Pelodiscus sinensis: one gene and its partners. The protein of the gene in region 3 interacts with the protein of the main gene of each other region in a pairwise test. Links are inferred from orthologs where the notes say so. Each region holds a gene or a part of one and is shown on either strand. Other genes may lie near its edges. The genes, in order: CCDC148, TCF25, SAT1 and TACO1.

Region 1 (7,610 bases), on a different chromosome or scaffold from region 3:
GCAGTTCCCACTATTCTACCTGTAGCCAAAGGTGTTTCTCTGCTCTCATCCAAGTAACAGGATCCCAAATATAAGAGTCTTAGCTCAAATTAAGGCTGGCATGATAGAGTTTTGAAAATATTGAGAACCCCTTTGAAAGACTTCTATTTGGACTAATCGTAGGACAGGTTAGATTAAGCAGAAACTCATTAAGAGCTCAAAAAGGGAGGATAACAGCAGTACCAATAAAACAGTCAGCAGATACTAATCTACTAACCTGCTCATTCAAGAGTGAAAGAGCCAGAGAATACTTTCAAGAAACCAGATTTAAGAGTAATAGGAATCCCAGATGTTTCAGAAGGAACAAATGACATCAAATTCTTATAGGATTTACTAATGAACGCAGAGTCCTCTTCTAGTGACACTGAGATTATGTATATGTTTTTGTGCCCAAGTTTTGAGAAAGACATAAAACTAATGGAAGCTGAAGCCAGACAAATTCAGATTAATCACTTTAGTGGTCAAATGTGTGCATAATCACTGAACAGACTGGCAAGTGAAATTTAGATGCTTTTCTTCTTAGTTTTAAATCAAGACTGGATGGCTTTTGGAAAGATAAACTCTAACTAAACATGTTATTGGGGTCAATAGAAAGGTAACAAATGAAATTAATGGCTTGTGATATACAGGAGGTCAAAGTAGATTATCCAATTGCCCCTTCTGTAGTTAAATTGCATGAATCTGTGGCTGAGAACAGATTTGAAATTATTATGGTTCATTGATAAAGAAAATGACCTTCCACATGCTTTCAAATGGGACAGGACCTCACCAAATTATCTGCCTTGCTCTATTTTCTCATTACTGCCAATACAAGCTTTAAAAACAGTGTATTGACTCTGTCAAAGTAGGCTCACTACTGGAACAGTATAAATTTAAACCAACAAATGGTCTGGTAGCACTTTATAGACTAACAAAACATGTAGAAGGTATCCTGAGCTTTTGTGCATACAGCCCACTTCTACAGTGTTCAACTACTATAAGCAATACCATGCTTACCCCTAGCAGGTCACAGCACAAGAATATAGTGGGCAGCTGCCCCACAGTCAGCACAACGGACTACTATAGTAGATTACCTTGCAGCTGTCCTTGGAGCCACCCACAATCAAAAGGAAGCAAAGATAACTCAGGGCAATATGGCATAAGAGCTTTTTTCCAAAACCCCAGTCACTGTTGTGAACTCATTGCATATAGAGAATATTAGTAATTCTCAATTACATTAAACATTATATACCTGAACTTGTACATAGACCCCATTTACTGTTAGTCATGGGAAGGATTTTTAAAATAAATATTGAGAAGCCACCTATTCAGAGCACTTGCTGATTTAGGTGACCAGCAAATGGGTTCCAAATTAAGTTATATCAGTATAAAACCCATGTCCTTCAGTGATTAGTAATTAATGTGAAATGAAAAGCTTCAGAGGATAGCTGAGTTAGGCTACACAGGATAAACTTAAAAAAACCAACAACAAATAGTCTGGTAGCACTTTAAAGATTAACAAAAAATGTAGATGGTATTATGCGCTTTTGTGGGCACAACCCACTTCTTCAGAACCTTCTTAAATGTGAAATGAGTTGGTGGTTTAATTTCACAATCAGTCATTGCAAAGTATCCAACAAAAGCACAGCTGAAAACCTTATCAACAGTGTACGCAAAGCGGTCAAAGACTAAGTAGAATGGGACACCTAAAGGCGATTCCCTCAGATCAAAGTTGTAGGGAAGCCTGTTTTGTCATTTCCCTTTCTGTAACTAATCTGTAGTAAGACAGAACTTCAGTCTACAATGCTATCTTGTTGCTAGACCCAAGATGGCTACATTCACTGCCAATATTTTTTTAAATCACGTATTAAATGTAAGATTAGAAGGCTGTGAGCAGGCACCATCCTTATCACATACTTTTTTTTCCATGTTACCAGCACCATAATAGATAGATCAAGATTAAAATTACCATAGAGCACAGCATAATTTACATATATACCATAAGTAACTCTGAAACTGAAGTCTAGTTTATTTTGTAGACCAGCAACAACTCATCACATAAGCTGCACTCACATAACAATCCTTCAATTTACTTCACATATGTTGAACTAATTTAGTAGTCAATTGTCTGTATTGTATTTTGTTTAGGACCTATAATACTGCAGTGATACACACTACAGATATTATTTCTTTAGCAGGTGCTATTTCCTTAGTAACTAAGGTATCGGCCTTTTCTACTAAAGGGTTACTCTCTAATAGGAACATTTTGCACAGCATACCTTTCTCAGGTTGCCCCTTTAAATTTTTAAGAGTCAAAGCAGCTGTCCTTCTAAAGTAGCCATTTTGTAACTTGTTGCTGCAGCTCCTAGTCTTCCAGGCAAGAAGTATGCTTAACTATTATATTGGATTCTGTCATGGCTAAGTAAATTCCCCTTCCAATAGATCTATAGACTGCAATTATTTCGCCAGACCTACTTATATAGCATATAGTGACAACCGTCAGTTACTATGAACAGCATCTCACCTACAGTCTGATGGGGGAAGAGGAGGCAGAGCCAGAAAAAGGCTGGGATTCACACTTACCCAAAGAAGCATGATGGACTCTCAGATGGTATTTTATTAGTCCCCTCACCCACCCTGAGCAACTAGTAGAAGTGGTCTGGGGCAAACTTCACCACTACAGTAGGAACTTTTTGGAATTTGCACGTTATCAATGCATTTCCCGTCCTCTCGCCTCACCTTTCCAGCGAGGCAGGCGAGCCTGACAGTCACCAGCCTTGGGCAGGGCTGCAGCCTGCTGACTCCCGTGTAAATCCTCACCACTGCAGGTACTTCTGCTTACTAGGCCCCAGGGCATGGAAAACGATTTTACTCCAGCCAGTTACCGTCCTCTCAGCAGCTCCACTCCCTTCCCCTCTCCCGCCCAGTGACCTCTCTGCGCCCAGGGCTTTCCCTCTTCCCCTGGTGACCTATAATGATTCCCTCTCGCCTTCCGCCGCACACACCCGCGCCTCAAGGAACTGCAGCTCCGAGTCCTTCCACTCAGCCCCATCACAGCATCGGTAACCATAACAACCTCAAGTAGGTCTCTCATTGGTTGGTTTAATATGCGGCAGCGACCAATAAGATGCGGCCCTGAGCAGGGCTCTTCCAATAGCATGGTGGCACAAGGCAGGCCGCTGTGCTGACGTCCGTGGTGGAGGGCGGGACTAGGGAGACTAGGGTGAAGGGGGTCTGGACTCAGCAGCGGCAACAGCATGGAGACCCCGGGGTAGGGCCCGGCCCGGCGGGGAGGCTGCAGCTGAGGCTTCTCCGCGCCTACAGCCCCTACCAGCGGCGTCAGCTGTGCGGTGAGTGAGGCTCCGGGGGCATGGGAGGTCTGGGGGGCGCTCTGGAGGGTGGGGGTACCCTGTGGCGGGGACCCGGCTCCGGATCAGAGGGGCGCCGTGCCAGGAGGCGCATACTCCAGCTGTAGGGAGGCGAGGAAAGTGGTTGAGTCTCCTTGAGAGGGTTGTGGTTCCCTGTCTGTCCCTTCGCCCCCAGACCTTTTTCCCTTGGCTTTTCGCCCCAACATCTGTTTAGCCGCCCCCCCCCCCCCCCTTGGCCATCTCTAGCCTCTCCTCCCTTGGCCCGTCTGTGCCCTATGCCCTCCCCCAGCCCCCTACCCCCCGCCGCACTAGTCTCGCCTCCCTCCCAAGCCTTTCTCATTGCCTCCCACCCCCGGTCTGATTCCCCTTCCCGCCTTTGGCCTGACTCCTCTCCCAAAACGCTCCCCTAACGTCCTCTCGGTTCTAACCTCTGCCGCCCAGACCCCTTTTCCCCGCGCCGCCCAAGCTCGTGTTTCCCTTCAGCTTTCCGTTTCCCTGTAAAACTGGCTTTGCTCGGCCTTAGGCTGAATGTACGCAGTCAGTTTCCTGTAGCCCCTTCCCTGGGCTGGGCTTCCAGGTGTTAGGCCCCGGAACTGCCCCTCTGCGGTCACCGAGCCTGCATGTTCGAGGAGTGCGGCGCTTGCGGCGTGGAGCGCAGAGAGGCAGGTGTGAGGCTTTTACAGTGTGTGGGGCGGGGGAGGGAAGCGAGGGGGGACACACGCTGTTTGTTCCTGGGGCTTTAGATTGTGCTGGAATGTTAGGAATGCGCCAGGGGAAGCGCGCACACAACCCGCTGCAACAGATCGCTCCTTGCCCGGCTCTCCTCCAATAGTCAAAGGTCACCAGAGCAATCTACCCGGGAGCTAGCGAACCTCTCTGTGTCTCCATGCTGCAGAGGGGGCAGGAGCGGTCTCTGCTTGCCTTCGGCATGGCATTGCACAGGTTCAGGTTAGATTCTCGCTGCATTTCTCCGCGATGAGATCAGTTCGAAGGTTGCTTGTTCCTCACCGCACCCGAGTTCAGGAAGGCTGGATATTCATTTCCTCCCAGCTACCACGGGCCTTTGATTTCTGTGCCAAATTTTGCAGAAACATTTGTGCAATTAGTGTTATTGTTTGGTTTATGTCCTTAAGCCGAGCTGCAGAAGCTTGATGGTGATAGCAGTGGGGGCGGGCGGGTAGGAGGAGAGGAAAAATGTTCGTCGTGTGTGGTGATGCCGCAACACGTTTTGCTATATGTTTTTGTTAATACTTGTGAACGACGATCTAATCTGCAAAATGTTTCTGTGCATGGATCCTTCTTCTTTAACATGAACTACAGCTTGTTATCTTACTGAGCTGCATTTATACCCTCATAATGCGTAATGAAAAGGAACAGAGAGGCAGTGTTTTGCCAGAGATGGGACAGATAGGAACTGTCTGGTACTGTTAAATTACAGGGCGTGTCAATTACCATCTGAAACAACACAGAAACGCAGCAGGAGGCAGCAGTCGCCACCACGTCTTTCCCCAGATTTACATTGTTAGCACCAGGGCAATTTTCATTGAGCTGTTCAAACTGTCATAGCCATTTAAGTTGATATTTGTGAGAAGTGATTTGAGAGAGAAAAAAGGGATTTAGAAAACAGTTGTCCAGTTGTAGATAAAATAATAGAATACTAGTACTGTTTCTCTGAGCACAGTTTAGTGGTGGTTGTTTCCTGTCTAACTTTTGCTTTCTCTGTCAGGCTGAAGAAAATAATTAGGCAGCGCTTAGCTAAAGAAACTGTAGTAGCCACTAAGCAAGTCCAAGCACTATCATGCAAACTATTGCCTTGACAAACATTGTTTGGGACAGGTTTGTTAATAGGGCCATATGATCAGGCTATCAAGCGGTACTGTTATCTGTTTGTCAGTATTTTTAAGCTAAGAAAAAAGCATTGTACATATTCCTCTTTGGGACTATTATATTGAACTGCCTTGTGTCCACACGCTGCTAGGTGATCTGCAGTCACTGATGATATATGCTGAATACAATTTAAAAATTAGGTATGTTTTTGACATAACTAAATTTCAGATTGCACACCAGTACCCAAATCTTGAAGAAAGCTATCTAAGCCCTGAAATCCTCTACTGCCCTTGATAGCAAGCACAGCTACAGGAAAGCTGTTAACTAGGCAGCCTCTTTGCTTGATCAATAAGCAACAGAAATAGAAGATAAGTGACAAATATATTTAAAATAAGGGTTGCTGAGTGACAGTAATGCAGCTGTTTCATAGAAGATGGATTGAGTTTACTAACTTGTCAGTGCATGAACATTTTGCTACTATCACACAAAAAATAAGTATTAGATGAAGTGGGTCTTTGCCAACGAAAGCTTAATCTGTTAGTCTTTGAGGTGCCACAGGGCTCCTTGTCGCTTTTACAAAAAACAAGGAAATTGGGAGACATGATTTAGTAGCTGATATGTCCATTCAGTCTGGGGATGCTGGGAGGTACAGAATTGGAAGAGTGACATGGATTTTAAAATGCTTGGACTCTGGGGTGTTTTTGCAAAATCAAGATTGGATGCCTTTTGGGAAGATACACTTCAGATAAACACAAGTTATTGGGTCAATACAGAGGTAACTAGTGAAATTTGATGGCTTGTGATATACAGGAGGTCAAAGTAGATGAATGTTTAAGTTGGAAATCCTAAATTATGCACAGGAACATTGAATATATTCTCGTAGAACACTGATTTTTAAGAAGCCAACTCTGGTTTGATATGCAGATTTATACAATATCTTTAGTTGAAACGGATATGTATGTAGCTTAGGATAGATTAATCCTTGTTTAGTATTTTCTACATATCAATTTTACATAATAGCCCAAATGCACACGTGAATATAAAATTAAAAATTAAATTATCTGTTTAAAGCAGGGGTGGGGAACCTCAGGCCCTGGGGACAAGATGCAGCCCTCGGCTTGTCTGGATCCAGCCCCCGAGGCTCAGGGTCCCGCCCCCCAGCATTGGGGAGCCCGCACTGGTGCTCCAGCCCTCCTGCTGTGCCCCAGGGTCTGTAGCGCACAGTCTACTAGTCTGGGCACCCCTAGGCTCTGGTGTGAGAGGGGAATGTGAGGTGTGTGTTTCTCCTCAGTTGGGGGCTACAGTAAGGATCCCCCCCTCACTTCTCACTTGTGTGCATCCCCCTCCCTGACTGATTTTTTTTTTTTTTTTTGGTCGGTCAGTGACCCCCAACCCAAAAAAGGTTCCCCGCCCCTTGTTTAAAAGGTGGCTTCAAAGTAATAATATTTTGTAGCTAGCTTTTGATTCTGCTCATGGCTGTCAGTCATTTTATCAATCATTGGGCAAGATTTGGGAAGGGCGGGGAGAATGAAGCTTTCTTGACTAATGAAATGGGTAGACTGTACTTTTTTTTTTTTTTTTTTTTTTTTGGTCTTAGAAAACATTTAAATTTGCTGAATGTCTGATACCTCTGAAAATTAAAATATTGGAACATAATGTTTAATTTTAACTATTTTAAAATTAGGAAAAAAGGAAACTAAAATATCCAACTTTAAAAGTTCAATTAATACTGATTTAGTTGGGTTAAAATTGTACGTGTTGCCTGACCCTTGGAATGTGTTACTGAAACTATTTTGTGTACACGTAGATAGCATGACCAATATGCTGTGCATCTTCCAATCAAAGATTGAGGTGGGGGAAGAGCATGTCCTCTGATCTAATAAACAAGTCAAACTTTTAACAGAAAATGATAGGATGAGAGGGTTTTTGGTTTTATTCGTCCTTACAGTAGGAGTTTCATACTTAAATCAAACTGGTACACTTTTTCATGTGTTCATTTTTTTTAATTGTATCCTTTGGTATATATGGTTGTGACTATTTTCTTCCACTATTTGATCTGAGGAAGTGGGTCTGGCCCACGAAAGCTCATCATCTAATAAACCATCTTGTTAGTCTTTAAAGTGCTACATTGTCCTGCATTTTGCTTCAGCTACCCTAGATTAACACGGCTACATTTCTATCACTTTTTTAAGGACACTTGAATTTTGTTTTTGAGAAGACATCTTATACAGGGAGAGAATTCATTAAAGTTTTCTAATTACACATTGGAAATGTTACATATCTTGTGTGACTCTTTTTAAAGCATAGCATTTTCACTTACTGCTTTGCTTATGTATTTAAAAGGTAACAAAAAGTAATAAGATACAGTATTTTATGTAGCAGCTTCATGTGTTGGCA
Region 2 (7,859 bases), on a different chromosome or scaffold from region 3:
ACAGATGGTACTCGCCACACGGTGCTACCTGGTGTTATCCACCACGGCAGAGGGGCTCACTCCTCTCCCAACAGGCACAGACCGACAGACTCCTGCCGACTACTGGCTCCACACAGCTAGTGCAGCAGGAGAGGCAAAGCTTTGGCAGCGCTCCATCATCACCACCTCTGAGATATTATCACTTGGAACTAGCTTAGCTCACTTGCCCCTTCTCTTACGAGCTTCCCCTACAACACAACAGTGAGGCTGCTCTCCATCCTCCCCCCTCACTGCGGAAATCCCCCTCACTTTTCTTAGACTCAAACCCAACTACAAAGCACCACTGGCAACCCCTCAAGCGCCAGTATTTAACCTGCATTCCCTCAAAACCTGCATGGAATTCTGCGCATGCACATCTTTCAGACAAGCGCTTCCGCGTACTTTGTTAAGACAGCAGACCTGTACTCGTAAGCAACCCGCAAACTAACTCATGTATCCAGTGGAGGGAAAAGGAAAACCATCTCTGCTTCACGTGAGCAGGGCTTTGTTCCCTCCTGTATGTTTTGCATGAATTTAGTACTCATGAAGACTCAGAACTGGTAAGGCTGGCACAAGCCACTGAGCTCAGGTAACTGCTGCAATAACTTCCTCTTCATAGCAGGTCATCATATCCGGTATCTCCAGGTATTCCACTGCCGTCCTCCCCTCCCCCCAGCTCCAGCAGTGACCTCACCCCCAACTCAGCAATGCTCCACTGTGCCAGTCCTAGACCTCAGCCTGTCAACAGGCCCAGGTGTGCAGTGCTTTGCGGAGGGGACCAATGGCAGCTCAGTGAAAAGCAGTCGCTTTCACTTGTCCTTAAGGCAGGACTGTGAGCGCTGGTCCCCGGAGGTCACCGCCGGATGTACTAACCCAGTACGGCACAGAGCGCCAGGTGCCAGCATGAAGAGGGAGGGAGAACGCTCTTCAGGACGATGACCACCCCCACCAACAAGGGTGGAGACTGCTGAACATTCCCAGGTACCTGCAGGTTTGTCACCGTCTGGTCCTGCTGTTGAGCATCCTCGCCACATCTCTGCCCATTGCTCTCTGGCGCTCCAGTTTCAGCCTCTTCATCGTTCCCTGGGCCATCCTGCTCTGTCAGTCTGGAACATGCTCTCTCCTCGTTGCACGCTACAGCCTCTTCCGATTCCTCGTTGGTTATCTATGCAAACAGGGGTACAAGGCTCAGAGGCCTGGGGAGAACAGCGTGATGGATACTTGGAGTCTCTCCCCAGCACAAAGCTGCACCCCAGGAGCTGGGCTCTGTATTTTACTCACATCTGCAGAGAGAGAGAGAAAAACCCAGCCCTGCGACAGGACCAGAAGCTAAAGCCGGCCATTCAGCAGGAGCCTACAAGGAACCTGACAGCAGTTTGGCTGCTGAGATGGGAGCCTGCCCAGCTTGCCCCTCCTCCCCTTGTTTCTTTGCACTCCCTGCCTGCCCGGGGCCATCTACCGCCTGCACCATTTGTCTCTGTGGGGCCGGAGCCACGTCTTTGTGGCGCATTTGTACAGCGCCTGGCGCAACGGGCTCCCGGCCAGACCTGGGGCTCCCAGGGTGCAAAGGGGAGGCGGGGGGCCTAGGCGGGTTGGGAAGATGGTGCAGCGGGCAGCCTGGGGGCTGGCTGGTGCCCAGCGAGCACAGGCCAGGCCAGCAGCTCAAGCTCGCTCGCCCCCGCCAGCTGACTCGGTCACTGTGGGGGGGGACCCAAGAGGAGCCCCTGGGGAACCAGCCCCAGAGCTGGGCACAGCCTAGGACGGGGGCTGACTTGGCCTCCCCCCCCCTGGGTCCCACAGTGGCGGTTTGCAGCATCGCACCCCGCCCCAGCTGCTGGCTCGGACCCTCTGACCCCCCCCCCGCGACCCCGCCTGCCTGGTCCGGTCCAGTGCCTCCCTGACCCCCCCGCGGCCCCGCCTGCCTGGTCCGGTCCAGTGCCTCCCTGACCCCCCCGCGGCCCCGCCTGCCTGGTCCGGTCCGGTGCCTCCCTGACCCCCCCCCCCCCGCAGCCCCGCCTGCCTGGTCCAGTCCAGTGCCTCCCTGACCCCCCCGCGGCCCCGCCTGCCTGGTCCGGTCCGGTGCCTCCCTGACCCCCCCCCGCAGCCCCGCCTGCCTGGTCCAGTCCAGTGCCTCCCTGACCCCCCCGCGGCCCTGCCTGCCTGGTCCGGTCCAGTGCCTCCCCGAACCCCCCCGCGGCCCCGCCTGCCTGGTCCGGTCCAGTGCCTCCCTGACTCCCCCCCGCGGCCCCGCCTGCCTGGTCCGGTCCGGTGCCTCCCTGACTCCCCCCCGCGGCCCCGCCTGCCTGGTCCGGTCCGGTGCCTCCCCGAACCCCCCCGCGGCCCCGCCTGCCTGGTCCGGTCCGGTGCCTCCCTGACCCCCCCCCCGCGGCCCCGCCTGCCTGGTCCGGTCCAGTGCCTCCCTGACCCCCCCCCGCGGCCCCGCCTGCCTGGTCCGGTCCAGTGCCTCCCTGACCCCCCCCCGCGGCCCCGCCTGCCTGGTCCGGTCCAGTGCCTCCCTGACCCCCCCGCGGCCACGCCGGCCTGGTCCGGTCCAGTGCATCCCTGACCCCCCCGTGACCCCGCCTGCCTGGTCCGGTCCAGTGCCTCCCTGACCCCCCCGCGGCCACGCCGGCCTGGTCCGGTCCAGTGCCTCCCTGACCCCCCCGCGGCCCCGCCTGCCTGGTCCGGTCCGGTGTCTCCCTGACCCCCCCGCGGCCCCGCCTGCTTGGTCCGGTCCGGTGTCTCCCTGACCCCCCCGCGACCCCGCCTGCTTGGTCCGGTCCAGTGCCTCCCTGACCCCCCCGGCCGCTCACCAGCTCGAACAGGTTGCTGACCCCGCCCCGCTCCGGCCCCCTCCTGGCGCGGCCCGGCGCCTCCCCCGGCGCCTCGGGGCCCAGCCGCAGCCCCCCCGGCTCCAGGGGCTCCTGGCCCCGCTGCTCCCCCCGCAGCCTGCGCAGGGCCCGCCGCGACATGGAGCCCGGCGCCCCGCCGCTCTGCGCCTGCGCGAACGGAAGTGCCCCCCCCCCCCCCCCCCCCGCGCATGCGCCGCTCTCTAGCCTGCCACCTGCGTCGCGCGCCCCGGGCTCGGCCGGCGCGAGATAAGGTGCAGCGGGACCCAGCGGCGCGCTCCCGAGAGGCGGCCGAGGCATCAGCAGCTCCCCATGCCCTGGCCCTAGGGGCAGCCCCTGCTCTGTGGGGCCCCGCCCCCTGCCTTCCCACGTGTTGCGTGGGGAACACGTGGGCTTCCCTGGGTCCGGCCCCCAGGCTCGTGCCCCCCAGCATGGAGGAGCCTGCGCTGGTTGTCCGGCCCCCAGCCCCACTGCAGGGCAGGCCACGCAGCATCTGTCAGGCGGGGCCCGGGCTCTGCTGGGCAGGGGAACGTGGGGAGCTGGGAGCTGCCCCTGCGAGTTTCGGGGTTTTGTTGGGTTTGTTTTTCGCTTCTCACTTGTGCGCAGCCCCCGACTGATTTGTTCTGTGGGGCAGCAGCCCTCGCCCCTGGAAAGGTTCCTCCCCTGCTGCAAGAGAAGGAATAGAGACCAGCAGTGGGCAAAATATCGGCACCGCGGCCTGGCCTGCTCCGTCCATCGCAGGGTCCATGCCCCTCATGTCGCCTCCCCGGAGGGATTTAAATCCGCCCTGACTCCCAGCACTGACAGTGAAGGAGAGACACAGCCGGGGTCTGGTTAGCGGCTGGGAGGAACCAGCCGGGGTCTGGTTAGTGGCATTCAGGCCGGAGGTGACTGCTCCCGAAGCCAGGCAGCACCGACGGAGCAGCTGCTTTTTGATGCTCAACTCTCTTCCCCTTTCACCTCTCTCCGCGTCTCTCTGGAAGTGGCTCAGGGCAGGGCCTACCGATTCCGGGCACCACCCCGACCACAATGGGGTGTCACTTGTGGCGGGGCCTTAGGCACCCCCATAAAACCATTGCTAATAATTATGTGCTCATCTCTCATTGCATCATTCCGACGCACCTCCACTCCAGCCCCAAATCCCCTTCTCCCCGACACTGCTCTGTGCTTCCTTCTACGCTGCCTCTTCTGCTGCTGCACCTCCCCCCCAGCAGCGCTGTCCTGTTTGAAATCCCAGCTCCACTTCCGCCAGGACGCCCACAAGCCAAGGGCCATTAGCCAGGCTGTAGGGCCGGGGGGCCGCCCTGGCTGGAGGGGAAAAGTTCTGACGTGGAACCAAAATGCCAACGTCCCCTGGGCTAAGCGTGGCTATCTGGGCGCTGCAGCCTCCCTCCTCGCCTCCCTCACTTTATCATTTTCACGTGGTGCAGCTTGTTCCTGCTTAGACTGGAAGCGTTGGGGGCAGGGAGCAGATCTTCCGGTTTGTGAGGCACTCAGCACAGTCAGGTCCTGATCCCCTTCCCCTCGGCCCTGCCTCAGGGCTGTAGCATTCATGGTCCGAGGGCTCCCTGCCTGGGCTGGAATGGCTACCATGGGCCAGAGCTGGCCTGTACCCATTAGAGGAGAGCAAATCTGGCTTCCTCATGGCTGCGCCCCCCCTTCTGTGCACTGAGCCGGCACGAGGGCTCAAGGTTCAGCCCCAAACGAGATGCCAAAAGTCACCGTCCACCTGCCGCTTTCAAGACCCTTCCCTTTGTCCCTTGCACACAGACACAGGACTCCTTGGCTAGGCTGGCAGCATGCAGGGGATGGGCCGTCCGGGATGCATACTGAGAGCTCCGGGGGCGCACGCCCCCCTCGTCAGGGGCTCTAATTCCGGCCTGTGCTGCTCTGCCAGCTGCTCCTCCGCCTCCAAAAAGGGAGGGTCCGGCAGCACTCGAGCAAGCGCCCTTGCCAGAGACCCGTGTGGCTTGGTCGGGGCTGGGCTCCCGCAGCACCGCACGGGCGGGCGTCCTTCTTCAACAGCACCGTGACCCTGGAGGGCAGGATGCTGCAAACCAGTTCCACAGGGCTGGTTACACGGGTGGGCAGGGGACGGAGCTGGCCATGGAGCTGAGCACTGATGCCGGCTGGGGCACTGGGAGGTCCCTGCTCCAGGAGCCAGGTCTGTGGGGTTTCCACCTACGTTAATGAGACCTGCCAGGAGAGAGACCCTCTCCTCCCGAGCGTGGGGCGCCAGCCAGCCCTGGGATGGAGAGCCTGCCCTCCCCGTCTCACCCGCGACAGGAACAAAGCGATTCAGCAGGGCTGGGAAAGCCCTTGGCTGGCTCTGGGGCCCAGAGGGATGGCTGCCTCAGTGACTCAGAGGCTGCTGTACAAGGGCCCAAACTCAGCCCTCGTCTAGCCAAGTGCAGTCTCTTCGGGCTGAATGTGGACTGCGACCTTTTTCCCGTGAGCCCCAGTCCCGGCTGCAGCCGCTGGCTGGCCCCCCAACAAACACCTCCTGGGACAAGGTGCTGAGAGTCCGGGTGGGGAACGCGCTCTCCTCCCTCTTCTCAACACAAGCCCGGGGCAGGCCGGCCCAGCTCGCTTGCTGTCTGGACGCCTGCTGCAGGGTCCCTTCCCTGCTATTTCCTCCCGTGCCGCTTTCAGGAGCTCTCCGGGGCTCCCTGCGGTTCAGTGCTGTCTGGGGCGGCCTCTGTCCACCCCACGCACCCTGCTCACCGTCCCCCTTACAGATTCCTGTGCTGGCAAAGCATCGGGAGACGACCAATGCAGCTCAAAATAGGGATTTATTAGTACGGGAGCAACATTCTGTACAAGAGCAACCATGCCAGTCCAGGGGCATGTTATTTACAGCGGACTTTTCATCTGTACAGGATGGGCTGTGTACAAAACACTGGCCACCGGGTCAGCCAGGGACAGGACGTGGGGACGGGGTCCCCTGCATTTCCCCACGCCTGCCAGCTCCGACCCGGGCAGGAGGGGGCGTTATTGCAGAGTTGGCAGGGGGATAAGGCATTGGCATTTGCACACGTCAGCAAAATGTGGCCATGTCAAAACAGAGAAGCAAGCAGGGCGGCAGTGCAGGCTAATCTTGCAAGCCGGGGCCCAGGGCCAGCAGAGTGCCATGTGTTTTCAGCAGGACGGCACCCCCAGCATGGAGAGGGGCTGGTGGGCTGTGGAATCGGCCCTGGCTTCTCTTCCACGCTGTGCCGGTCTGCAGCGAGCATGCACCTTCCCTCAGATGCAGCCAGTGCCCAGCCAGGCTTGGTTTTCCAGAGCCCGGTTCCGTCATGCTGGGCAGAGATCCACTGGCAATTTACCTGACCTGCCAGGGTCCCTGGGAGGCTGACCTACGCTGCCAACTTTTGGGGCAGCTTTGCTGGCTCGGAGCATGGCAAGTCTGACCCCGCGAGGCTGGCAGAAGCCCCAGTGTAGACCCAGGCAGACCTGCAATTAGGGGCTTTTTGCCAGCCCAGCTATTTGGTTTGGGGAACGGATACACACAGGACCACCAAAGCCCTCGGTTACCGGCACTAGCTGCATTCCCGGCAGAAGGCTTTGCCAGTGTAACCAGCAGGCCAGGCCTGAGTGTGTAACTGACCCTCGGCCGGCACAAACCCTGGTCTGCGCATGGAGCCAGATCGCGTGCACGTGCGAAGCGTGGGCCCTCGTGCGACTGAAATCAGGCCCTGCCGCTGGGCTCGTGGGGGGGGGGAGGCACGTGCAGGTTGCATCGCCCTGTGTCGCACACACAACGTGCACCCCTGGTGGGACACAAAGGGCGAGTGGCACATCGTGGAACAGCCCCTTCCCCTCCCACGGCCTGGTGCTTTCCCTGGCTGTCGCTGTCTGGGGGGGCACTGCTCCCCGTACTCCGGCCGCCTGCCCACGCGAAAGCCCCGCACCGGACGCTGAGTCTTTTGGCCCAACCCCCGTGTCTCTCTTGGCCCCGGGCCGAGGAGGACGCCAGGGGCCGGGCGGCTTTGCACAAGGACGCCCCAGACAAACATCTGACGACGGGCACACTGAACAGCTGCTGTGGCTGGCGACCCAGCCAGGCCACCGAGAGGAAGCAGCAGATGGTGGAGACTCCAGGCGGCCAGCTGGACTCCTCAGGGTCCAGACCCTCACGTTTTGGCCAGGACAGATGTTGGGCCACATCTGGAGAGAGCCTGGAGCTGCGGCCACGGCCAGGCCTTCCCTGTTCTGTGGCTAGGCAGGTCCAGGGCCCAGATGAGCCTTGGAAGTGCCAGGAGGCCAGGGGGATGGGCGTGAGGCTGGCAGGGTCTCTTCCACCTCCAGGGAGGCAGGGGCTGGGCAGAGCCTTTTCTTCTTGCTCAGAGAGCAGCTGCCAGCCAGGCGCGACCGGGGATGGCGAAAGGGCCAATGGGGAGACCCGGGGAATGGCGCCACGGCGGGCCTACTCCCTGGCCACTCCCCGGAGAGGCTCCAGGGGGCGGAGCTGGGGACCGAGAGATTTAGCACCCGCCGGGCATCTGGCGAATGGGCCCCAACAGGGCAGCGCAGCCGGGCTAGCTCCCACCCGCTCGCACAGGGCAGCAGGGACACCTGGCAGCAGCAGGCCAGGCTGAGTGCCTTCGGGCTCAGGCGGTATTTGCCCAGCCCATGTACCACCCTGAGCTCTGGGCGGCCCGGGCCTCCCATGTCTGTGCTCGGTGCTGGGGGCTCCCCGGGGGCACAGCCCCACTCCGGATTAGTGCTACTCCCTGCGGAGCGCGGGGCGGGGCGGGGCGGGGAGGGGTGGTGCGCAGGCCGGGACACACATGCAGCCTCGCGGCCCAGAGACAGTCACAGCCGAGGGCCTGAATACACACCCCAGGGTGGGGTAAGCGGCGGGGGCTGACCGCACCAGGCAGCCAGAGCCCGGTGAAGGGAGGCGAGCAGCCCAGGGGAAGCCGCAGAGGGGACAGGCAGACTGGGGACGCCTCACGAGCCCGGCTCGGTGACTGAACTAGGAAGGAGGGG
Region 3 (7,277 bases):
ATTTGTCATTTGCTGGAATAATTCCTCATTCTTCAGTTGCCATTTTCAACAGATGTTCTTTGTCAATTTTGAAGAGCCTCCATCCTTCCTCAGAGGACAGATCAGAAGCACCTCTTCTTTTGTAGAACTTGATAGAAGGTTCATTCCATTCTGCCACTATAAAGTGCATGCTGCTACAGCGGCATTTGAGAGCAACCTACAAACACATGACCAGTATATTTATTAGGTGTGTAGCAATTTTATTAATTGCATATGGAAATCTATTCCTCCATTACCGATAGGCAAGTCTCTCCACACATCATATTGCTGAAGTGAAGACTGCCATTAATATTGGCAGCTGTTTTAATCATAGCAATTTCCTTCAACCCACCTTGGTCTCGTTGGGCACAATGGAGATGAGGGACTGTCAATTCTGATTCTATGAAGTACTGACAGATACTAAACCAGTAGGATTTTACAGAATTTGATAAACCTACCCCATATGTCCATTTGTCCCTTTTATTACCATAACTGAATCACTCATTTTCAAGTACTATTGAAGGGTAATATTAATTGAGCTAAACAGACTTGCTTCTCTGCTGTGGTCTTCTTGTGCTAAAAATCTGACAGAGAATGGAACTATTTACCTGACTCAGATTCTTCAGAATTTCTGAACCAATGCCAAGTCCTAAAAAGTCAAGAAAGGTTGGTTGTAATTTTTAAAAAAAATTATAGAACAGTCCATTTTGAAGCTATTTGTTAAAATATACCTCTGAACTCTGACATTACAAAGAAATCTTCAAGGTACAGCAATTTTCCAATCCAAGGGTCATAAGTGAAGTAATACATGGCAAAACCCACAATAAGATGTCCTGTAACAAAGAATTACATCAGCAAAAATACCCTTAAATTTGAAAAGCAACAAGATTAGTATATTTCAACTTGCATGCATACAACCTAAATACCTAGGTTTCACATGCAACCATTAATGTATTAACTGTCATAAGCCTGGTTCAAGGATGGAAGTTTGCAATAAGCATACTGAGTTGTAGGTAAAACAGGAATTCTGATAGCTTGAGATGTGTTGTGGAATGAAGATTATCTTTCTAGCTCTTGGAAGGCAGTGTTTACGGTTATAGCGAACAATGAACATCTAAGGCTTTCTGCTACAGACACATTATACATACCCTATTATCAGTATGTCCACTTTGGAATATAAAACTGGCTTACATTTAACACGGCAGTTCAGAATATGCTGGCACTTTGCTCAATTCTGCTTTCTTAAAAATTGTAACACAACACTAACAGTAAATCTAAAAACTACACCTTTAAAAGACTGTTTTCCAATCAGTATCTCTCAAAAATTACTCAGTGGGAAAACCAGGAGTGCTCCCAGGAAGCCATAAGTTAACAATGGCATCTCCAGCACCTCCTTGGATTGTGTTCCCATTAACAAAGTGACAGTCTGTATCCTGGGCACCAGAAACATATCTACTTTGGCCAACAGCTTTCCTTGTTTGCTTGAAACAACTCTATGGCTCACTCTGTAAGAGTAGCCAACTGTCAGGTGCAAAACTGGTACCCTCTTCCAATATCATCCCACTCAGTCCTAAAACCTTGAGACTTCAAATCATGTTGTTAGCCATAGTAGTTTGCACATACTCATAAAAAGAGAGTGCATACAGGATTTCTGATCTACCGTGTGTTTTTTGGTAAATGTTTGGGAATAGTACTTGTCCCTGTTAGACCTTACCTCATGTATCATGATCATCTACTTTATTGTGTAACGGATCTTTTAGTTACCTCCCCGCCCATCCATGTACACGGAAGGGCCATGTACATGGCGAAGCTAGAGACTGTAACCTGAAGATTGGGGACAAATTAAAGAAAAAATGTGATTCAACAGGATTACATTAAGGGAAATTAGGGTCAAACAAGAACAAACTAATTAAATGGAATTACTGTGTATCATATATATTATACCTGGTCTCCAGTGTCTTCAAAATGGCTGATCATTTTAGAAAAATATCACAACTCTTCAATATCAATAACTGTATTTTAACTTTCTTCTTATCCAAATTCCCAGCTGGGGCTTTATGTATAATCAGCAGCTTTAAATAATGTGTTACATACATCCTGTGCATTTCTTATTTTAAAAGAGTAGCAGGAAATCTTACCTTCAGCGGTCCACTGTTCTTCTGGAACTTCTGCAACAAGACAGTGGTAGAAAGGGTGCTCACCAAAGCCATCTTCAAGCAGATCTACAAAATGACAATAGGCTGACGTGTATTAAATATTAACAGTAGTAGGACTACACCACACCAAACTCTGAGCAGCTCATGTTACCTTTTTCAGTTAGGACTACTTGATCCTCCATATCCTCATATTTAGCTAGTTCCTGAAAAAAAATACATGCACAGATATACATTTATTTCCATGCCTCAAGGAGGCATTTCTTATCCAAGTGCTATTTATACACAGCAGAGCAGAGAGGCAGCCACTTGCCCGCTGCCAAGAGCGAAGAGCCCCCGCGTGCCCGTGAACTGAACACAAACAACTTGTTTTTGCCAAATTAGGAGTTCTTGGTTCTGGGCGGACAAAACTGACACTGGAGGAGTTTCGAGCCCCCCCCCCCCCCAAACCGGGGCAAAGGTCCTGGGTAGGAGATTTAGGCAGAAAACAAATTTTACCCCCCCCCCCCCGCAGCAGCAACCCCCCCCCAGTAAGCCCCGCCCCGCCGCACCCATCCCCCCGCCGGCGGCACCTTGATGAGGCGCAGCAGGTCGGGGCAGTCCTCGGGCCTTGCGCTGCGGATGCGGAACGGGGCCATTTTCGGCGGCGCTTCCCCCTGCGGCCCCCCCGGCTGGCGAGTCCCCGGTACGTGAAGAGGAGCAGCAGCCGCTTGTTCATTCGTGTGCCCGGCGCGGCGGCTCAGTCAGGCTCCGAGCATGACGCGGACACAGGACCCGACCCGACGCCGATTCCCCCTCTGCGCCCCCGCAGCGCCGTGTGGAGGCGGCCGGCCGCGCGGCCCCTCTATATATCGGCAACAGGCTCCGCCCCCCCGCCAATGGCCTGCCCCCCCGCGCAGATCCTCGGCCAATCACTGCGCTCCTGACCCAAGCATTACCTCACTCTTCCGGAAAGGGGCGTGTCTTGCCGGCTGCAGGCCCCGGGCGCGCGCGCGGACGGCAGCGCCCCCTGGCGGGCAAAGGCCGCCCTGCTCCAGCGCCAGCTCCGCGGGAGGGGGAGGGGTGAGAGGGGAAGTGCCAGCCCCGCCCCAGTGACTCCGGCCCTGGGAGACGCCCCCCCCCCCCCCCGGTGCCAGGAAAATGGCCCTGCCCGGGGACACTACCCGCTGCCCGCTCTGCAGCCCCACCCATTTTGGCCTCCCCCGGGCTGGGAAGCGAGGCTTCCCTTCCCCACTTGCACTGGCACCACCCTGCGCTGGGGGGAGAGAATAGAGGCTGGGACCAAGAGATTCAGCAGGTGGCATCTACCATCTCACAGGGACCTTGAAAGGTCATTGAGTCCAGTCTCCTGCCCTCATAGCAGGACCAAGTACCATCCCTGACAGATTTGCACCAAAGCCCTAAATGCCCCTCCCCCGTAAGGATTGAACTCTCAACCCTGGGTTTAGCAGGCCAATGCTCAAACCACTGAGCTATCCCTTGGTGGAACAGGTAGGTGGGGTACAGAGATAAGGACACCAGCCCAGGGTGCAGACTGAGGTGCGGCTGGGTTTGAAGGCAGGGAGTGGGCTGAGGGGTGCAGACTCCAGACAGCACTTCCCTCAAGCAGCTCCTGGAAGCAGGGACGCATTCCAACTCTGGCTCCTAGGTGGAGGTCCAGCCAGGTAGCTCTGCTTACTGCCCTGTCCACAGGACCAGGTGCTACCCAACAGCTCCCATTGGCCGTGATTCCTGACCAATGGGAGCTGCAGGGTCAACTGTTGGGTCAGGGGCAGCATGTGGAGCTCCCTGGTTGCCTGTATGCATAGGAGTTGGAGGGGTGACATGCCCGTGCTTCTAAGAGATGCTCAGAACCTGCATTTCCACACAGCGTTGCTGACCAAACTTTTAACTGTCTGGTCAGCAGTGTTGTCTGGAGCCATCAGGGATTCCTTTCAACCTGGCATTTTGATCAAAAACTGAACACCTGGCAGACACTAGAATTCCCTTCCAGTGCCAAAAGCACAGGCTCCTTAGAACCACAGGAGACTCTCTGCCAACTGCTCGTAACAGTGTCAGGTCCAAGAGTGGGGAGTTATATGGACCCAGGGTGCCTGGGCCCCAGAAATATTCAGAGGTCCTGCTTCAACAAAGTTTGGGGCTGGGTTTTCCCCCTGGTGGCACCTAGCCTTCCACCTGCTTCAAGTGCCCCTGCTGTTAGTGAGAGTTGCGGGAGTCATGCCTGCCAGCGTGCCCCCCTGCTTAGAAGCTACTGCCGGAGGAGGTGCCTTAGATAAATGCTATATGCCACCTCTCTACCTACATCCTCTTCTGCCCCCAAACATCCTCCCAGAGCCTGATACCTCACCTCTTCTACACCCCAATTCCCTGTGCAAGTCCAGAGCCTGCACCCAGCACCCAAACTTCCTCCCATAGCCTTAGGCAGGTGGAAGAAGTGAGTTCTGGGCACCAACAACATTTCTACAAACTTGCCACCCCAGCCCAGGGAGACTTAACAGTGAACAACTTGTGAGGGGAGAGGAAATGTTTATCTAAAAGCATCAACCTCCTATTTTCCTCCAATGAAAGTGCCACAGATGTCTGTAATAACAGCATGCAGCACACAGAGGACTTTGATTTGTAAAAAGTCTCACTAGAGAGTGTTAATTAATACAAAAGACTGCATTTATGGGAGGGACACCAGGGCCTTCCACACGTTACCTTTCATGTGATTCCATCCTGCCCTCAACCTTCCTCCCCCCACTCTCCTCGTGTCCCATCTCAGAACCTCATTATCTGGTGATAATTTTATAACTGGTGTGTGTCTGTTGAATAGATGAAGTTGTTAAATGATGATCTGGTTTCCTAGTATCATCTGTACTGTACTTCCAGATGTCAGTGAGAATCTAGAAGTATCCCACAATGGAAATTTCTTAAATGAAAGACGATGGGAAGGATAATCTCCCTGCTTTCTTTTAACACATTATAAGTGCCTCCATCTTGGGAAAACTAAGCTTCCACCACCAGGAGTGGCCCGAGGTGGGCTGCGGCAGCTGGTGCCCCAGGCAGAACATGCGATTGGCGCCCCCGCCTGCAGGGCCGTCAATGGACAGATGTCAGCATCGGGCACCCCGGGCGCCCCATTTAAGATGGTGTCCTAGGCAGCAGCCGAGTCCGCCTATAGTCACGGGCTGCCTCTGTCCATCATCCAGCTTGCTTATGGAAGAATCCCAAGCACAGCTACAGTGGGGAGAGGGCTAAGCAGCAGTTCTGCAGAAAAAGACCTGGGGATGAGTGGATGAGAAGATGAATAGGAGTCAACAGTGTGCCCTTATAGCCAACAAGGCTAATGGCATATTGGGGTACATTAGCAGGAGCATTGCCAGCAGATCTATGGAAGTGATTATTTGGCACTGGTGAGGCCACATTTGGAGTATTGTATCCATTGCAGAAGAATGTGAACGCATTGGAGGAGTCCAGTGGAGGGCAACAAAAATGGTTAGGGGGTGGAGCACATATCTTATGAGGAGAGGCTGAGGGATTTGGACTTATTTAGTCTACTTAAGAGAAGAGTGAAGGGGGATTTGATAGCAGCCTTCAATTACCTGAAGAGGGGTTCCAACGAGGAAGGAGAGAGGCTGTTCTCAGGGGTGACAGATGGCAGAACAAGGTGCAATGGTCTCAAACTGGAGGTCTAGGTTGGCTATTAGGGAAAACTATGTCACTAGGAGGGTGGTGAAGCACTGAAATGGGTTACCTACAGAGGTGGTGGAGTCTCCATCCCTAGGGCAGTGTTTCTCAAAGTGATCCACGGACCCATTCTGAAAAAGCTGCTACGGGGCCACTCTGGTTTGTTTACTTACTGGCTCTGCAGCCACGGAGCCTCACTGCTCCCATTAGCTGTGGTTTGCCATTTGCAGCCAAGGGGAACAGCGGGAAGCAGAATGACCTGGGCCACTACTTCCTGCAGATCCCCTTGGTTGCAAATGGGAAATTGCAGCCAATGGAAGCCATGAGGCTCCTTGGCTATGGAGCCAGTAAGTAAACAAAGTGGAGCAGCCCAGTAGCAGTTTTCTCAGAGTGGGTCCATGGACCACTTTGAGAAACACTGCCCTACAGGTTTTTAAGTCCTGGGCTGACACAGCCCTGGCTGAGATGATTTAGTTGTGACAGATCTTGCTTTTATGATCATAACCCTCAGCTTTTATGATCATACCTTCAGCCTCCCCTCAATGACCTTCTGAGGTCTCTTTCAACCTTATGATTCTGTATTTATGTCTTGCTCTTCCAGGAACTAGGAAAGCAAAGATGCGGTGACATCTGGGTTTGATGGAAAAGAGTAAGAGGCATAGAACTGTGTGTGCTATGTGCATCCATTTTTATTTAAATCCCTGCTTCATTGATTACGTCGGTATGTCTAATTTACATGCCTCAGTCGGCAGAGGCATGTAGTCTAGACATGCCCTTGGAGAGGAAAGAACAAAACCATTCCAGCCAGAGATATGTTACTTATGCCACAGGTATCAAATGCTGCAGACTTGTGAGTAAGTCAGCAGACATCTGATCTTTGCCACTTGCAAGGGAGAAATCAACAATCAACGAGACTAGAAGAATCTCTGTACAATATCCAACTCATTTTCCCCATAGCCCATTGCCCATCCCTCTCAGCTGCTTGTGGCTCATTCATCCCCCCTAAGGCCCACTCTGCCCCTCGCTTCTATAGGCCCAGTGGAAAGCCAGACTCAGCCTAACTCAGGACGGTATAGTAGTGAAGCTTGAAGGTGAGTCTTGGGGCATCTGTGCTACTGCTGTAAAAGTTCCTCTGCTGCCACCCTTGAAGTGCCAGAAGAAAGTGAAAGGTGAGCAGGTGTGGGGAGGCTCCTTTGAGTATGCACTGAGTCACTGGCCAAGAAGAGCCGGGACGCTAGCACCACCTGGGCTGGGAGAGATTCGAGATGAGCCCTAGAAAGGGACAGTCCCTACCTAAGATGAACTGCTTCCTCAAAGATGCTTGAGGATCCCTCCTGTTTGTCTCTTCTTTCTGGGGTCCTCAAGCATCTTTGCCCTGCCTCTCCCCACTCTGTGTTAGGAAAAGTCCATTAAGTCAACTGTAGATAGGACAGGTGC
Region 4 (7,570 bases), on a different chromosome or scaffold from region 3:
CAGCTCTCTGTGGTGCTGTAAATTGTTGTTGGGCTATTGTTGTGGGTTGATAAAACAGGAAGGAGATTCCTATGGCTGCAGCTTTTACATCTTCCTTCATCTTTATGGAGCCCTCTGTTATGGCCCCTCCTTGCCCTATGGCTGCTATCGATATGGGTACAGCGGCTGGTAAAGTTAATGGCCAGTCTTGGTTTCCTCGTATGGCACTCATTTTCATTAGACCGCCCAAGTACCCGGGATTTCCTGTTAATATGGTCAGTTCTGCTTGTGAGATTAACTCATTCATGTTTTCCATTAACAACCTTCCTACCCACAAAATCGGGTTTTCTCCTGATCCCCTTCGGGTTCGACTTATAAGATCATTCATTTCTATTCGGGTCCTATCCCTAACTTCAGTACTGGCCGTTGGTGGCCCTCCTCTTCTCTGTTTATATACTGTTTGTGTTATTGGGCGGGTCTCGATTGGGTCACTCCCTGATCCTATATCTTCTCCTATTCTTAACCCACATGTACATTCTTCCGTGCATATTCCTTCCATTAGCATATCCCATGGGTACACACCCCCTTTGGCTACTTTTTTCCTTTCCCTCTTTTGATTTTCCTCTATGACTGATTCAGGATAAGAAGGGGGTGTGGCTATTGGTTTTATCATTTCTTTTTTTCTGTTATTTCTCCTCTTTCTCTCGCTCCTGACTTTCCTTTTTTAATAAGGCTTGTAGGGTATTTACTGTGCCTTCTAATCTAGTTATTGTATTTCCGGCTTTTATTAACAAGTCCCAAAGTACACAGACCCTTTTATTTGGATCCCATTTGTTGGCTGTTAATTTTTTCTTTCCTCTAGCATATCTTATAAGGTCCTCTAGTACCTCTCTCATCAATTTGTCAGTTGTTTGACTTGGCATTTTAAATATTTTCGGTATGGATCTGTCATATCAGCTGTTCTTTCTAATATGTTTTGTAGTTTTTTTATAATCTGTTTCTTTATATTGGGTTTTTTGCGTTACGTCTGGTAATGGTACTTTGCAATCTTTTAACTTCCATTTCACTGGATCATTATTAGCCATTAAACATCTCAACCCTGAATGTGTTACGTATAGGTAGGGTATATGTATGATTTTCTTCCGCTATTGATACTACTGCTCCTATTTTGAGCATGTGTTCTTCACCCTCATCCTTATGATATAACCAGTGGTTGAGAGGTTCTGTACCTTCCATCTTGTTTAACCGATCAAAGGGGCACCCTCTGTTCTCGTCAAATCCTGTTCGTTTTGCCATTTTGGTAACCGGTGTTTGGTTCTTTAAAGGATTTGATACCACAGACAGAGGAATACTTCCCTTTGGGGTTAACCAATGTGGAAGAATGTTGTCCTCACTCTGCGTCTGTTAGCAACAGGTGAGAGGCGGTTTATTGTCTTACAGTTGCAAGGGAAGCTGCAGCTAGCACATCTTTGAATACAAACAGTAAAGAGCCAGTATTATACTGTAACTTTCCCTTTATATACACCAATGGCTAACAAGTATTTCTTAGTTCCTCCCAGATGCTACCTTATCTTCAAGGTTCCTGCTGGAGTCAGCATTCCATCCTTATCTCCGTATGGAGGCGAGAGACGGAAGCAGTGCTTCTTACAGTTCTCGCGTTGTCAGACTCAGACTTAGCCTGAGTCTTGCTCTGCTACTGACACCCTAAGATGGCTGCGCACAAATCTTTGCTTCCACACCAAAGACTTTATTTCTATTTACTTTTATAATTAATTTTTCATTTAAATCAATTCACTATCTTTAATTGTTTAAGACAGCGTAACATACAAATAAAGAGTAGAAAAAGCAGTACAACTAAGACGAGAACAATAACCCCTCCTACAGCTATACCCTCCTAAGTTACCTTTGAACAGTTTGTGGAGTTATCAGACATACCTATATAATACTTATATTAAGACCGATAGAAGCGCTGTTTAATTCAGGAGAGATTCTTTTCTTTATGTCTTTCCTTTTGGATTTTTTGTTGCAACTTATGACCAGTGTTTCCCTTTCAGAGCTTACGAGCGGCAGCGAGATTCAGCACTGGGGAGGAAGCCCTGGTTGATCAAACCTGGCTTTTTTGGATTTGCAACCCATCTGCTTTTGGTCTGTTTAGTTCAACCTTTAATACCCTGTTTCGGTATCTTTCCTCTCACCTGACTATGCTGACGTTAGTTTTTGTTGTCTCATTCTGCCTTTTTAGAAGTTGTATTTTACTTCTGTCTACTTCTTATTTGGGGTTATCAGCACTTCGTTGCTTTTGCTGTTTTTGTTACTTTTACTTCCCTAAAAGCAGGGTTATTATTGGACATCCAATCAAATTCTGGTTTTTCGTTTACATCTCCTCTATCTTGTGTGGAGGCACAGGGAATTGGTATGCAGCCATTTCAGGTTTGTTAGCAGTGAAGCAAGAGTCAAGCTAATTCTGACTCTTGACAACGGGAAAGCTGAAATAAGACACTGCCTTCGCCTCCATACGGAGATAAGGATAGAACGCTGACTCTGGCAGGGACCTTGAGATAAGGAGCATCTGGGTGGAACTAAAATAACTGTTAGCCATTGGTGTTTGTAATAGGAAGGAGACTAATTGTTTGTTGTTATTATATGTAATGGACAGTATATAAACTTCTTCATAATTGCTTGTATTCGAAGATCTGCCTCGGGGGGCTTACCCCCCCTTCCCCGATCCGAACCAGTTTTTCCCTTGCTGCAGCTCGTAATAAAACTGCCTCTGGCTACTTGTTGCTTACAAACGCAGAGCGAAGGCTTGTTTTCTTCCACACTTGACAATACTGCCTTCCTTTTACACTTACAACTAAATTAGTGCTCATTTGACATACACAGGCCAGGCCCTAAAACATCCTTTTCATAAAGGAATACTTTATAAAAAAAAAGGTTGTGGAATATTGGTTTTGGTCATACTTAGCCCTGGCACAGTGCTGGGGACTGGACTCGATCACCTACCTATTTCCCTTTTAATCCTACCTTTCTAGGATTCATAGATATGAAGCCCAAAAAAGCCCATTGTGCCCATTCTGCTTGGCTTCCTGCCTAATCCAAGCCAAAGAATCTCCCCTAGCCATTCCTGCCTGCAGCACAGTAACTCCTGACAGAGTTAGAGCAGAACTTTGAGAGAGATAGTTCCCATCTCCACAGACAGACTCCCACAGAGGGAGCTCTCCCAATACTTCATTCCCCTCTACATAAACCCTGGTCCTTAACTCCCAGCCTCAATGTAACTCCCTTCTGCTTCCCACCCATGGAGCTCACTCTGCCTTTGCCTGCTACATTAATGAACCATCCGCTAGCAGATCTGTAAATCAGAAGGGACTGGATTATTAGAACTCACCCGAGGAGGGGCTCTCAGGCCCTGATCTTTCTCTGGAGTCCTCGGCATCCTGGATCCAGAGTTCTGCCTGCCCTCGCTCGATCAGGTGGATTAAATCTGGTGTGGAACCTGAATAGCCTGTTTGGGGGAAGAATCAGTTTTATTTCTAAAGCTTTGGTGTCAGGGATTCATACATTTGTGCAGCCCAGCACAACAAGGCCCCATTCTTGGTCAGGGTGCGTCTGTCACTCCTTCAGACGATACCACAAGCGATTCCCAAACAGGAGACTAATAAAATAAACCTTCCTTAGAAATGTCTTTCCCCCTCAGTTCAGGCTGTACTATGAAGAAGCAATTTGTATGATCCTTCTTGATAGTCTTAGGGAGATGTACCAGTTCTTTTGCTGGGGTTCAAACATTGCTCAATTGTATGGTGGTTATGTGAATGACGTTCTTCATTGTTTTCGGGGCGGTGGGGAGCTGTTACAAGCAGCAGGAGACATTTCTCCCTGCCTGATTTGCCTGAGTCAATTCCTGAGTCAAAGTTGCTGCTCCCAGTGGCTGTGCAGGGATTCCTGGAAGAGGTTGTTGCTCATGGGCTATGTGCGACCACTTCTGTGCCAGGACTCAGGAACATAATGCAACTAAACAAGTCACAGTAAAATGACCCCCAGGCGCTGTAGCCCTGATTTCTCTTAACAGGAAGCCGCCCTGAAAGGGGCTGACATTGGCCACCACTTGGCCACTCGGTGGCACAGATCAGTCGAGGTGTCCAGACAGCCGGGACGTGTTACTGCAGTGAGTAAAAGGGAACTTGGTCCTTACCCAGGGAAACCAGGGCCCGGTAATTCCTCAGCATCTGCTCCCGGTACAGCTGCTTCTCCGGCGGGGACAGGAGCTCCCACTCCGCCCGGGTGAAATACAGAGCCACGTCCTCGAACGCCACCGGGGGCTGCTGGCACAAGCGACCCGCACTCAGCGCCCGCCGCCCCGGGCCGGGAACAGGCGCCTGCGGCCCCGCCCCAGGGACGCGCCCCCCGCCCCGGGCAGCCCCGCAGCCTCCTACCTGCGCCGGCCCCGCTGCAGCCATGGCCGGGCAGCGCGCTCCGGGCCGGGACCCCGGGGAGGCCCCGCCCGCTGGTCGCTACGCGCCCCGCCCCGCGCCTGCGCCGCCTCCAGCAGCGGGCGGCTCCAGCGCCTGCACCTTCCGGCCCGGCCGCCCGGGTCCCGCGCTGCAGCTGGGGCGCAGGAGCCCGTCGGGGGGCAGGGTTGGGGCTGTGAGCGGGGCCCCGGGGCGCTGGCTGGGGCCGGACTCCTGGCTCTCTCCCGGGCCGGGCCGGGTGTGCGCGGGCAGCACAGGAGCCGCCCCCCAGCTGTGCAACCGGGGGGCGGGCTGCAGAGGCCCATGGCCCTGCCCCGCGCCGTGGGGAGGGCCGCTGCCCCGCACCGCTGCCGCCTCCTGGCCTCGCTGCTGGTGCTGAAGGAGCTGGCGCCCTGCCTGGCCGCCCCCGCCAGCTACCCGCCTGGCCGGGCCCTGCACGCGACAGGTGCCACCCCCGCCGGCCACAACAAATGGTCCAAGGTCAAACACGTCAAGGGCCCGCGGGATGCTGAGCGCTGCCGGCTCTTCCAGAAGCTCACCATGCTGCTGCGCTTTGCTGTGAGAGGTACGGGGGGGGGGCACAGCCCCCCAGCTTGACACAGCCCCCCAGGACCCCAGGGGTCTGCCACAACCAGAGGGGGCATTACAGTCCCTGCCTGCCCAACTTTGACCCCTAGCACTGACTCTGTTGCTCCTAACTCCAGCATCCCCTAATCTCTGTTACCTGAGGCCAGCATCCCCCCTGGCTGCTGGAGCAGAAGATGCTGGTCTGCGGGGTAGTGTCTCGCCTTCTCATCCTTCCTCCACTGGACCTTTGCTCTGTCCCACAGCACCTCCTCTCAGGTGACTGGGTCTCTGTCCCTTCCCCCCCAGCAGCCGCTTCATGTAAGAGGGGGGCAGACAAGTCACTGTGGTTCATGCGGCCTGGGGTAACAGCTCGTGGTGGCTGAAGAGAGGAAGGGCCTTGGGACAGGTGGTTTGGGGCAGAGAGTGTCACCAGAGGCCTCAGGTCCCGTTGCCAGCTCTGGAAGGGTGGGTGGGAACAGGGGTGTGTGAGAATCTGGGAGGGGGCTGGAGGTTTATAGCGGTGGGGGCTGGGAGCCAGGACTGCCCTGGAAGGGGATCGCCGCCGTGTCTCCCTGTGACTGCTGCTTTCTGTCCTGCTGCAGAGGGGGGACCCAACCCTGATCTCAACACCAACCTGGCCAACATCATCGAGCAGTGCCGGAGCAAGAGCATGCCCAAAGCCTCCATTGAGGCGGCCATCAAGGGAGTTGTAAGTGGCCGCATCCTGCCAGCCCAGCTCGTGGGACAGAGGGACTCATTGGCCAGGCCCGGCAGTGCCAAGGGCTGTTGGGAGCCTTGAAGGAGGGAGCCAGGCTGGGCTTGTGGCTTGACGAAGGGGAACAGCCAGCAATGTTCCTATATGAATTGGGGGGGGGGGGGGCGGGGGGAGCTTCAGCCCCTCCCTAAAGGGCGCCTGAGGGTTGGGAGTCTTGGGGCTGGGGCACTTCTGGATGGGGAGGGGGCGCACCGAGCCAGCCCCTTTCCTCTGCCTGGTGATTCTGTCTCTTTTCTGTACGGTTTTATGAGAAGCAATCCCATTCCAGGCACATTCTCTTGTCCTGGCACAACCAAACCCTGCCCTTGCTTTAAGTTAGGAGAAGAGGAAGCTGTCTACTGAATTTGGTGGTCCTAGCTCTTACCATTTAGAAGGAATTCTTGAACAGACAGACAAACTCCCTCAAACATACAGTAGATTAATATCTGAGCACACAGCACAAAGACAGTGTGCGTTACTACTGCCCGGCCAAAGGGGTTTGCTAGTTCAATGAGAAGAGATAGCTAAGCGTGTTGCAGAGTATGGTGGGGTATAACACTCGAGCATGTGCTGGAAGGCTGCCTGCCTCATCTCTCAAGCCATGGTCAAGCAACCAGTTGGGAGGGGCAAGGGAGGACTGGCTGAGAGGCATAGGAAAAGCCTGCACATTCTCACTCCTTAACCCTCCCATGGGATACAAAAGGGGTGGGACGAAGACCCCAGATTTGTGACCCTCCGATACAGAACATGAGCATAAATGGTAAGGGGTAGGAGCAGGGTTGTGCACTGTAGGTCTGGTTGGGCCTGCTAAGGGGGAGGAGGTGGGAATAGGGAACAGGGACATGGATAAAGGCTCTGTGGTGTCAGAGCCATGGTTACGCTGGCTTGAAACTAACCCCAATGCCTGCACTTTGGACCAGGGCAGGGAGTGAAGGGGAAGTGCCCTGGCACCTCCCAAGACATGAGCCCAGCCACAGAGCTGAATCTGCCCCTTCCCGCTGCAGGGCAAAGGGAAGAACTCCTTGTACCTGCTCTACGAAGCCAGAGGCCCTGGCGGATCTGCGCTGCTCATCGAAGTGCTGACGGACAACGCCAAGCGAGCCTACCAGGAGATCCGGCTCATGCTGAGCCGCAGCGGGTCAGTCCTTCCCTGCCGGGCCCGACGATCCTGCATTTCCTCACACAAGGGCCCTTCCTGTGCACCATCCAGTGACCAAACCCGACACGTCTGGGTCTTAAAACATGAGTGTTTAGTGGTGGAGATGAACACACTGCAGGAGTGCAAGGGCTGTAGCTGGCTACGGCCTTCTCTGCAGCTTTGCCAGAAGTAGGAGATATGAGAGATGCAGTCTACGTGGGGGCCAAGGCTGTCTACAGGAGGCTGTAATAACTCAACCCCAGGCTTCATTTATCAAAAGCACCCAAGTGGTTTAGGAGCCATAGTCCCATTTTCAAAAGTGATGTGAGGCCTTTTAGGAGCCTACATCTTAGATAATTAATGGGATTCAGGCTCCTATGTCATGTAGATGCTTTGGAAAATGTTAGGGAAATGCTTTGGAAAATGCTGAAGGGAGATGAATTCACGTTGGGAATAAGAGTTTACCAGGGGAGGGAATTGATTCTTGGGACAGCTCCCCTCGGGATGAGGTGGAGTCTCCATCGCTGGGAGTCTGTCAGTGGAGATGGGGCGACCCTTTCTCAGAGCTCCTCTCTAGCTCAGCCAGGAGTCACTGGCCCAGGGCCAGGAATCCAGGTTTGGCGGGGGGAGGGAGATTCTCTGGTCTGGGTTAGACACGAGGCA

Evidence for each region.
Region 1: the proteins of SAT1 (region 3) and CCDC148 interact in binary tests that used the Homo sapiens proteins (3 or more experiments, as listed by UniProt). The two-hybrid records come from large-scale screens. The link is inferred for Pelodiscus sinensis from reciprocal best matches to the Homo sapiens genes SAT1 and CCDC148.
Region 2: the proteins of SAT1 (region 3) and TCF25 interact in binary tests that used the Homo sapiens proteins (3 or more experiments, as listed by UniProt). The two-hybrid records come from large-scale screens. The link is inferred for Pelodiscus sinensis from reciprocal best matches to the Homo sapiens genes SAT1 and TCF25.
Region 4: the proteins of SAT1 (region 3) and TACO1 interact in binary tests that used the Homo sapiens proteins (3 or more experiments, as listed by UniProt). The two-hybrid records come from large-scale screens. The link is inferred for Pelodiscus sinensis from reciprocal best matches to the Homo sapiens genes SAT1 and TACO1.

What each region holds. Positions count from the first base shown.
Region 1 is NC_134717.1:32,112,648-32,120,257, forward strand, and holds the start of CCDC148 (coiled-coil domain-containing protein 148), read right to left. Parts: upstream 3,014-7,610; 5' UTR 2,876-3,013; coding exon 2,758-2,875; intron 1-2,757.
Region 2 is NC_134722.1:2,323,415-2,331,273, forward strand, and holds the start of TCF25 (ribosome quality control complex subunit TCF25), read right to left. Parts: upstream 3,006-7,859; 5' UTR 2,991-3,005; coding exon 2,832-2,990; intron 1,184-2,831; coding exon 1,004-1,183; intron 1-1,003. UniProt on the Homo sapiens protein: Component of the ribosome quality control complex (RQC), a ribosome-associated complex that mediates ubiquitination and extraction of incompletely synthesized nascent chains for proteasomal degradation.
Region 3 is NC_134711.1:205,581,926-205,589,202, forward strand, and holds the start of SAT1 (diamine acetyltransferase 1), read right to left. Parts: upstream 3,003-7,277; 5' UTR 2,810-3,002; coding exon 2,744-2,809; intron 2,378-2,743; coding exon 2,326-2,377; intron 2,241-2,325; coding exon 2,157-2,240; intron 852-2,156; coding exon 750-851; intron 668-749; coding exon 627-667; intron 197-626; coding exon 26-196; 3' UTR 1-25. UniProt on the Homo sapiens protein: Enzyme which catalyzes the acetylation of polyamines. Substrate specificity: norspermidine = spermidine >> spermine > N(1)-acetylspermine. This highly regulated enzyme allows a fine attenuation of the intracellular concentration of polyamines.
Region 4 is NC_134714.1:129,756,073-129,763,642, forward strand, and holds the start of TACO1 (translational activator of cytochrome c oxidase 1), read left to right. Parts: upstream 1-4,559; 5' UTR 4,560-4,751; coding exon 4,752-5,013; intron 5,014-5,617; coding exon 5,618-5,724; intron 5,725-6,773; coding exon 6,774-6,907; intron 6,908-7,570. UniProt on the Homo sapiens protein: Acts as a translational activator of mitochondrially-encoded cytochrome c oxidase 1.